Linked DNA regions of Caenorhabditis elegans. The protein of the gene in region 1 interacts with the protein of each later gene in a pairwise test. Each region holds a gene or a part of one and is shown on either strand. Other genes may lie near its edges.

What was found.
Region 2: the proteins of ZK813.2 (region 1) and efk-1 interact in a two-hybrid assay, tested with the Caenorhabditis elegans proteins (one large-scale study listed by BioGRID).

What each region holds. Positions count from the first base shown.
Region 1 is NC_003284.9:3,442,285-3,445,005, forward strand, and holds ZK813.2 (Neuropeptide-Like Protein), read left to right. Parts: upstream 1-1,541; coding exon 1,542-1,907; downstream 1,908-2,721. Other genes in the region: ZK813.3 (FIP (Fungus-Induced Protein) Related), read left to right, coding at 1-87; ZK813.7 (Neuropeptide-Like Protein), read left to right, coding at 2,530-2,721.
Region 2 is NC_003281.10:6,164,130-6,170,314, reverse strand, and holds efk-1 (Eukaryotic elongation factor 2 kinase), read left to right. Parts: upstream 1-1,767; 5' UTR 1,768-1,784; coding exon 1,785-1,844; intron 1,845-1,930; coding exon 1,931-3,007; intron 3,008-3,060; coding exon 3,061-3,796; intron 3,797-3,850; coding exon 3,851-3,874; intron 3,875-4,019; coding exon 4,020-4,164; intron 4,165-4,761; coding exon 4,762-5,026; 3' UTR 5,027-5,409; downstream 5,410-6,185. Other genes in the region: F42A10.9 (Gamma-glutamylcyclotransferase family protein), read right to left, coding at 1,626-1,724, 5,416-5,512, 5,572-5,663. UniProt on the Caenorhabditis elegans protein: Phosphorylates elongation factor-2 (eEF-2) at two threonine residues that are conserved in all eukaryotes and are located within a GTP-binding domain. Calcium(2+)/calmodulin dependent activity.

The DNA.
Region 1 (2,721 bases):
CAAAATTCCTATGGTGGAGCAGCTCAAGATCCACCAGCGCAAAGTGGTTATGGAGACCCAGCTCAAGATACCCAATCTGGTTATTGAAACTTGTATTTTTGATAAAGTGTTGGTATATTTCTGAATTGATTCTTATTGTATAACTTAAACCTGTCTTAATGAATGCTTGGAAGCAACTTCTTCGAAATTTTTTAGAACTGTCTCATTACAGGGCAAAAGTTTAGCCATAAAATGTTCCATACGGAAAGTATCTTCACCGATGGAGTCGATGGATGCAACATTCCTTATGAAAACTTGGTTCAGTTTTGTTGACTTTCAGAATAATGGGTTGATATTTAATACATAAACTTCTAGTTAGTTTAATTGAAAAATGGCATGTAGTACTACTGTTGTTTCAGTTTCAGTTTTGCTTCCTGCTTGATAGCTCAAACAATTAGATTTTTAGATTAATAGATTTTTTTTTAATTTTTGAATGACTACTTACAGATTTAAAGTCATGTTAAAAACTTTAAATTTGTACAAAACTCGCATTGAAGATTAAAAAATATCAAAACGTTATTAACGTTTTCTTAAAGCATACCAGGTCCAGTCGCCGGTGTAATGCGGACTAGAATACCAAACGCCGAAAATAATAATCACTGCTCCCTTCTGTTTTATTCACGGTTCTCTTTCGCGATGATAAATATGGTTAAAATATGTTTTTAAAAAAGTTATTTAATTAAACTTATTGATTTAAAATACGCTTAAAGGTGGAGTAGCGCCAGTGGGGATTTTGTCTAAATGCACTTATAATGATCCAAAACATTCGAATATCATAATAAAACACTCCAAAAAATTTAAGATTTTCATAATTTCCGGTCAAAGTTGTGTCAAATTGCCAACATTTTGAAAAATACGAGCTTTTGAGGTAATTTAAATAAATGCCGCATGTTTCGACCCCTACAACTTCTAAATACAAATAATTTAAACAAAATTTTAAAAAAAATGTCGAAAAAAAAATTTTTCTGGTTGACTTCCAAAACTATGAGTGGCAAAAACTGAGTAACTGCCACTTTTTGACAGTAAATAAAAAATTTTCAAAAATTTTTTGAAATGTTATATCATGATATTTGGTCATTTTGGGACCGAAGGAGTGGTTCTTAGCAATTTCCCCACTGGCGCTACTCCACCAAAATTTCCAAAATTCCACCAAAATTTCAAAAATGAAGCCTCAAAAAAATTTCAAAATTTTTTTAGGTGGTCCAAGTTTTGGAAAGAATGAGCTAGCTAAATCAGATATTTTGCGAAAGTTTGTTTCTATTTTTTCACTGAAAAAAGTTTCGCTCCGCCTTGTATTCAGTTTTTTTCTTTCAAGAAAAACTTAAAGTGCAGAACAAAAACCTTTGTGACCAATGTTGATTCACCCTAATCACATTTTTTTTCTTTTTGAACTTGATCGCCCGCCTTCAGTTTCCTTTCTTTTTCATGAATATAGATTTTATAACAAAAACAATGAACAAGTATAAATAAAAAGCAGGTAACAGAAAGAAGTACCGTCAGAAATGAAACTGCTCCTTTTCACCTTTGCCTTATTATTCTTTTTTGTGTCCGCCGATGATTACGATGATTACAAAGATAACCGTGAAGCCTCGTGGGAGTACGAAAGCATTGATAGCATCCATGGATATGTTACCAGTAAGGCGTATCCGCGAAAAAACAGATCAGCTTCAAACTCCAACTCCCGCTCTCATGAGCCATCTGATTTGAAACCTGCTGGCTTTGGTTTTTCTCAACATAGGTCAATCAGAAGATCAAGCGAATCACACGAAGGGAGAAGACACAGTTCACCAAATCCACCCAATCAGCAGCTACCTGCAAATTTTCCAAAAATATCGTCAACTTCTGAAAGCCACGACAGAAGCAGATAACACGATAATTTTCAGTTCAATCAATTTGCTGAACTCAGATAAATGTGATTCTGAAATAAATGACTAACTTGACTCTCTAACTTTTTCAGTATTAAATTTGAAAAAAACAAGAGATTTTATGGATTCGTAGTACTTTCATCCTGTTTAAAATCTAACACCGTATTCTCTCTGCTTGTTTATGGTATTGGTTGTGTAACTTATTTATAAACGTATGCAGGAAAGTACCAACATGATGTATTTTTTTCTGTGAAACTCTGAACTTTGTTTATTTACATAAATCACGAGAAATAGCCAAAACGTACAGTCATAATTTTTCCCCCAAAATCAGTAACAATGTTGGTTTTGCTACAGTATTTTCGAATTCTCCGTTCAATTTTCATAAGCTCTCTGGATTATATAATTTTATCTAAAAACGACGTTTTTTAAAAGAAAATGATTAAATCTGTCAAAAACTTATTGTGCAGAACAAAAACTTTTGGGACCAATGTTGAATCATCCGAATTTGTTTTTTCTAGGCTTGATTGCCTTTTTTTGTTTTCCTTTTCAAGATTATAAATTTTATTTTTTAAACAAAAACCCAGTATATATAGACAACAGAGGAAAGGAAGATGCATCGTTAGAAATGAAAGTGCTCATTTTTGCCTCCGCATTACTATTCCTTTTCGTGTCGGCTAATAAAGACACCGAGCCCCTCTTTGGCACTATTGACACTTGGGGATATGTACAGTCACGGATGCTCCACCATCGAGAAGAAAGATCAGCTTCCAACTCTCACTCACGTTCACACGAATCATCTGAATTGAAACCTGCTGGC
Region 2 (6,185 bases), on another chromosome or scaffold:
ACACTCTGTCTGTTTCTCTAAATCTCTCATTCTTCATCATTGTCTCTCCTTCTTCTCCTTTCTCCATTCTTCTGGGTGCCTCTAGGCCTTTCTCGATTTTCCATTTCTTCACGTAGTTTTCTCCCAGTTTTTCCGTCGGTCTTTTTTCAACTTCAGAGAGTCTACTGATTCCTGTTTCTATTTTAAAGTGCTAGTGATAAATGTCTGAGAGATATTGGTCACATTTGACCTATTACATTCGGCTCGGTCAGATTGAAGTTTCAAGGAAATCAGAATATTTCATTTTTATATTCCAAGAATCTACTCAACCAGATGATTTATTATGTTCATTAAAAATAATAGGATTGGTTTCTCATTGATATATTATTCACCATCTGCCCTTTTTATCAAATCACAAAAAATCATTTTTATCTTTAATGTCTAACTGTAAGTACAAAAACGTGCAAAACTGAAAAACTTAAAATTGAAAGTAATTTTCGATTTTTTGTTCTTTTGATTTTTTAATCTTTGATCTTGAAAATTTTCCTCGACGTTTCTCGAATGTTCCTTCAAAAAATATTACCCATTATAATTTATGAGCTTTTTTCTTTCTCTATTTATTCCTATCGGGCCCGATATCGGGGAGGATTTTAGATTTTTTAAAAAATAATTTTATAGAACTTTTGAAGATACCTCTAAATGCCTACAATACTTACAAAATATGAAATAGTTTTTGTTTCTTTTCAAAATGCATAATCTCATTTATAAAAATGATTTATAAAACACAATTTACGGACTTTAATCCAAAATCGTATGTTTTCCATTGAAAAAGATAATATCTTCCGAATCTGGTTCTCGATCCTCGTAATTCTCTATTTACCCAACTCTTCTCTACACACAAATCACTGGATTATAGACTAAAAACCTAAAAATGCTCGAAATAGAAAACTTCTGCAGTTTGAATCTTAAAATTGTTCTAAAAGTGAATACGAATTTCATAAATCTCAATTATCAATTATCAGAAACAAATATTCAGAAAATAATTGGAAAACCTTTAATAATTTTCAATTATTACTTCTAATGGTCGTTTCAGAATGTTATTTTTAAAAATCGATTTCTTTTCACTGAGATCAAATTTACTTTTGGATCCATTTTTTACGAATGCATAATAAACATATTGTTATTACATCCAAAAATTTCCATAAAAAGCTCTCAGCTGACCAGCACGTGACGCATCTCGATGGAACAGAAATCAAACTGTTTATATGTTTGTTTGCTTCTCTTTTCTCTATCATCTGCTTTCAAGTATTCTTTCATTCGACACGTTCTCCCCCCGTTGTCGCTTTAATTCATGCTCGTTTTTTGTTGGGTGTGATTAGATGAGTAGTGTCTGGGCCTGACATAGAAAACAAGACCTTTGACTTGCCTTGAGTTCTGATACGATACCTGGTCTCAACGCGACCAAAAAATTTCAGCGCAAACAAGAGAGTGCGCCTTTAAAAAGTACGGTAGTTCTCCACGTCCAGTTTTTCCCAATTTCATAGATTTTACACTTTAAATCTTTTTCGCAACTAGGTAATATCGTTTTTTAAGAATAAAAACATCTACAGTAGGAAATCAAACAGAACCTTTTTTATCTGACTTACCTCAACTTTCTTTCTATCGTACAATGTTGGGTAGGCTTCCAACTCATCGAGCACCTTCAATTTCTTCTCGCAAACTTCATACATTTCTCCTTCAATGTTCTGAAAAAATTTGGATTAATTATTTACAAAATAGTTGTTTCAGTAGTCAAACTGGGCAAAATGACGATCGACACAACAAATGAGAGCGACAATAGTCCAACTAACTCACCAGGATTGGAGGTGGGATTTTTGAAAACAATTCTTTAACAAAATTAAATTTATTTAATTAAAATTCAATTAAACAAACTACAATTTTTACTTTCAAGGCCTCGGCTCGGACATTCTCGCTCAATGCGTCAAAAATGGTTCGGATAACCGACGACTACGCAGATGAAGTGTTCATTGAACAGAATGATGTCGTTATCGAGAAGCCTCGTATGGATCCTCTCCACGTTAGAAAACTTATGGAGACATGGCGCAAGGCTGCTCGCCGAGCAAGAACAAACTATATAGATCCATGGGATGAGTTCAACATCCACGAGTATCCAGTACAACGAGCTAAACGATATAGGTATTCTGCAATCAGAAAGCAATGGACAGAGGATATAGTCGATGTGAGACTTCATCCGGACAGTTTTGCACGTGGAGCCATGCGAGAATGCTACCGACTCAAAAAGTGCTCCAAGCACGGAACAAGTCAAGATTGGAGCAGCAACTATGTCGCAAAAAGATACATTTGTCAAGTCGATCGTAGAGTTCTTTTCGATGATGTCAGACTTCAGATGGATGCCAAATTATGGGCTGAAGAATATAATCGGTATAATCCACCGAAGAAAATTGATATTGTTCAAATGTGTGTCATTGAGATGATTGATGTAAAAGGTTCTCCACTCTATCATTTGGAGCATTTCATCGAGGGAAAATATATAAAATACAATTCAAACTCAGGATTTGTATCAAATGCAGCTCGTCTTACACCACAAGCATTTTCTCACTTCACCTTCGAACGTTCTGGTCATCAAATGATGGTTGTCGATATTCAAGGAGTTGGTGATCTTTACACAGATCCTCAGATTCATACAGTTGTGGGAACTGATTATGGAGATGGAAACCTCGGAACTCGTGGAATGGCTCTTTTCTTCCATTCACACAGATGTAACGATATTTGTGAGACAATGGATCTATCAAATTTCGAACTTTCGCCACCTGAAATCGAGGCTACCGAAGTTGCGATGGAAGTAGCTGCAAAGCAGAAAAAGTCATGCATAGTTCCTCCAACTGTGTTCGAAGCAAGAAGAAATCGAATTTCAAGTGAATGTGTACATGTCGAGCATGGTATTTCGATGGATCAATTGAGAAAAAGGAAGACGTTGAATCAATCGTCAACCGATTTGTCAGCAAAGGTGAAAGAAACATTTAAAAAAGTTCTAACGTATTCTATTTTTATATTTTTCAGAGTCACAACGAAGACTGTGTATGTCCTGAGTGTATTCCAGTTGTTGAGCAACTCTGTGAGCCTTGCTCCGAAGATGAAGAGGACGAAGAAGAAGACTATCCAAGAAGTGAAAAAAGTGGAAATAGTCAGAAAAGTCGACGTAGTAGAATGAGCATTTCAACGAGATCTTCTGGCGATGAATCAGCATCTCGTCCTAGAAAATGCGGATTTGTAGATTTAAACTCACTTCGTCAGAGACATGATAGCTTCAGAAGTTCTGTTGGGACATATTCTATGAATAGTTCTAGACAAACCAGAGACACTGAAAAGGATGAATTCTGGAAGGTTCTTCGAAAACAATCAGTTCCAGCAAACATTCTATCACTTCAACTTCAACAAATGGCTGCTAACCTGGAAAATGATGAAGACGTACCACAAGTCACCGGGCATCAGTTCTCTGTCCTCGGTCAGATTCATATTGATCTCTCACGATATCATGAGCTCGGGCGGTTCGTAGAAGTTGATTCAGAACATAAGGAAATGCTTGAGGGAAGTGAAAATGACGCTCGTGTACCAATCAAATACGACAAGCAGTCTGCAATTTTCCATTTGGATATCGCTCGGAAGTGTGGAATCCTTGAGGCTGTGCTAACATCGGCTCATATTGTTCTCGGATTACCACATGAATTGTTGAAAGAAGTCACCGTTGATGATCTGTTTCCTAATGGGTTTGGAGAACAGGAAAATGGAATTCGAGGTGAGCTTTTTTTGTTAATTTTTCTCTTTTAAATCTGAAATTCCAACTTTTCAGCTGATAAAGGACAAAAACCTTGTGGTAAGAATCAAGTTTTCTCGTGTGTGCTTTTTAAAAATTATTTTGTGATTTCCCAATTTAACCTTTCGTGTTGTTTCCTTTTTTGAAAGATTCAATCCTAGTGTTCTCAGCATCCCGTATTTTATCAAAATTCAAAAATTTTCAGACCTAGAAGAGTTCGGCTCCGATCTGATGGAAATTGCTGCAGAGATGGGTGATAAGGGTGCAATGCTGTACATGGCACACGCTTATGAAACTGGTCAGCATCTCGGACCGAATCGAAGAACGGATTATAAGAAATCGATTGATTGGTAAGAAATTTATGAGATTCTAGTGAAGATACAGTAACCCGACTTTATAGAGAATACTTTTAAGAAACCTAAAAAAGCTAAAATGTTTGATGCTATAGCTTCTAATTTTTTTTAATTGAAAATTTTTTCGAATAGCCGGAAAATTGAAAATCGAAAAAAAAGATTTAGAATGTAATTAACAGATTTGAAATTTCATCAAACTTTGTTTGTTTCGATGGAAATTTTTTTTCTTCTAAATAAAAATTTCAATTTACGAAAAAAAAAATCAAAAAACGAAGATTTTCGATTTTTTGAAATTTGAATTTTTGAACATTTAGGAAATTTGGAAATTGAAATTGAAATTTTTTAATCGAAAATTTTTTAAAATTCGAATAGAAGTACCCGTCTCTGATTCATTTTTTATAAGAAAAATTGTGAAAAACCAGAAAAACTAGGAACCTTCAAAAAATATGTTCAGAAAAAACTAAATCTACTTGTTGTATTTTTCAAAAAGAAAATCATATATGACCTATTTGCGATTTTTATTCTGGACTTCTTGGATGATTTTGTTCCTTAACATTTTTTCTATAAACTTGAGAAATATTCTAAATTTTGTAGGTATCAACGCGTCGTTGGATTCCAAGAAGAAGAAGAACTTGACTCTGATTGTGGAAAAACGACATTCTCCTCATTTGCTCCACTGACTCGTCACGAGATTCTAGCCAAAATGGCTGAAATGTACAAAGAGGGAGGTTATGGCCTGAATCAAGACTTCGAACGAGCATATGGTCTATTCAATGAAGCTGCTGAAGCAGCAATGGAAGCAATGAATGGAAAGCTCGCAAATAAATACTATGAAAAAGCGGAAATGTGTGGAGAATGATTCTTGAATTCCCCTTTCTTCAATCCTCAATGTATATCCTTTTTTCTGGTATAATGTACATTATTGTTTGTTTTTTTTTTCATATTAGTTAGTATCCCCATCCCCTACAATTTTTAGTTTCCCCCTGTCACAGTCCCCGGATTCAAGGAAAGAAAAAAATTTCAAAGATTTTGAATACCAAAAAAATTTCGGATCTAAACAAGTTTTTGGCATTTATACTCCCTTTAAACCGTGCGCATAATCATTTTTCTGTTTCTTTCTTTAAAATTTCCTTATTCATCTTTGTTTCCCTGCCAAAGCTGATTCCGTTCTCGTTCTTTTTTTTTAATTACTTGTCAATATGCTTCAAAGTACGTCGGTTTAAATAAACTTCAGGTTGTAAAACTCACATTTCCATTCCCAGCATCATCAAGCAAAAATGGAATGTTATATTTGGTTCCAACTACCAATGGGAACTTTTCCACTGTAGTTCCAGATGAGATGAATCTGAAAGAAGTAATGCATCACATTTGACACTCAAAATTCTTCAGTACTCCCGAACTTACCGATATTCTCCGTCAGTTTCTGACAGAACCTTGTAGTTTGGCTCTCCTGTTTTCAGGGTTCCATACACGAAAACCTTGAATTTTTCGCCCATTTTTGCTGGAAATGAATTAATAAATTACAGATTTTTTCATTATTTTAAGTTAATAAAAAAACATTTAAAAAAAATCTGTATTCATCAATCATTCGATATGTATATTTACACAATATGCCTTTCGGAAAAAAGAAGAAAAATACGCGTTTTTGTCTTGCCACGAAAGATTATTGATTGAAAAATGGCAAAAGGGTGTGGAAAAATCAATAAACTGAATGAGCACAAAATGGGGTTATCTCTTATCGGGATGGGGAAAAACTGAAGAAAAAAAAGGAAAATCGGTTCATAAATGGCCATAAAGTTTCTTATCACATTCCATCAAAAGCTTGTGCTCGTTGTCGTGGAGTTCCTCGCATACTCTGAAATTATAAGAAAATTATAATTGGAAAATGAGAAGAATAATCAATCAATACCACACTAATGTTCATTTCAAAATTTGAAAAATCACAACAAAATACACCGACGGACAGGTTTGTGAAATTCAAAGATATAGTTTCACTAAAAAATGTGTGATTTTTTGAA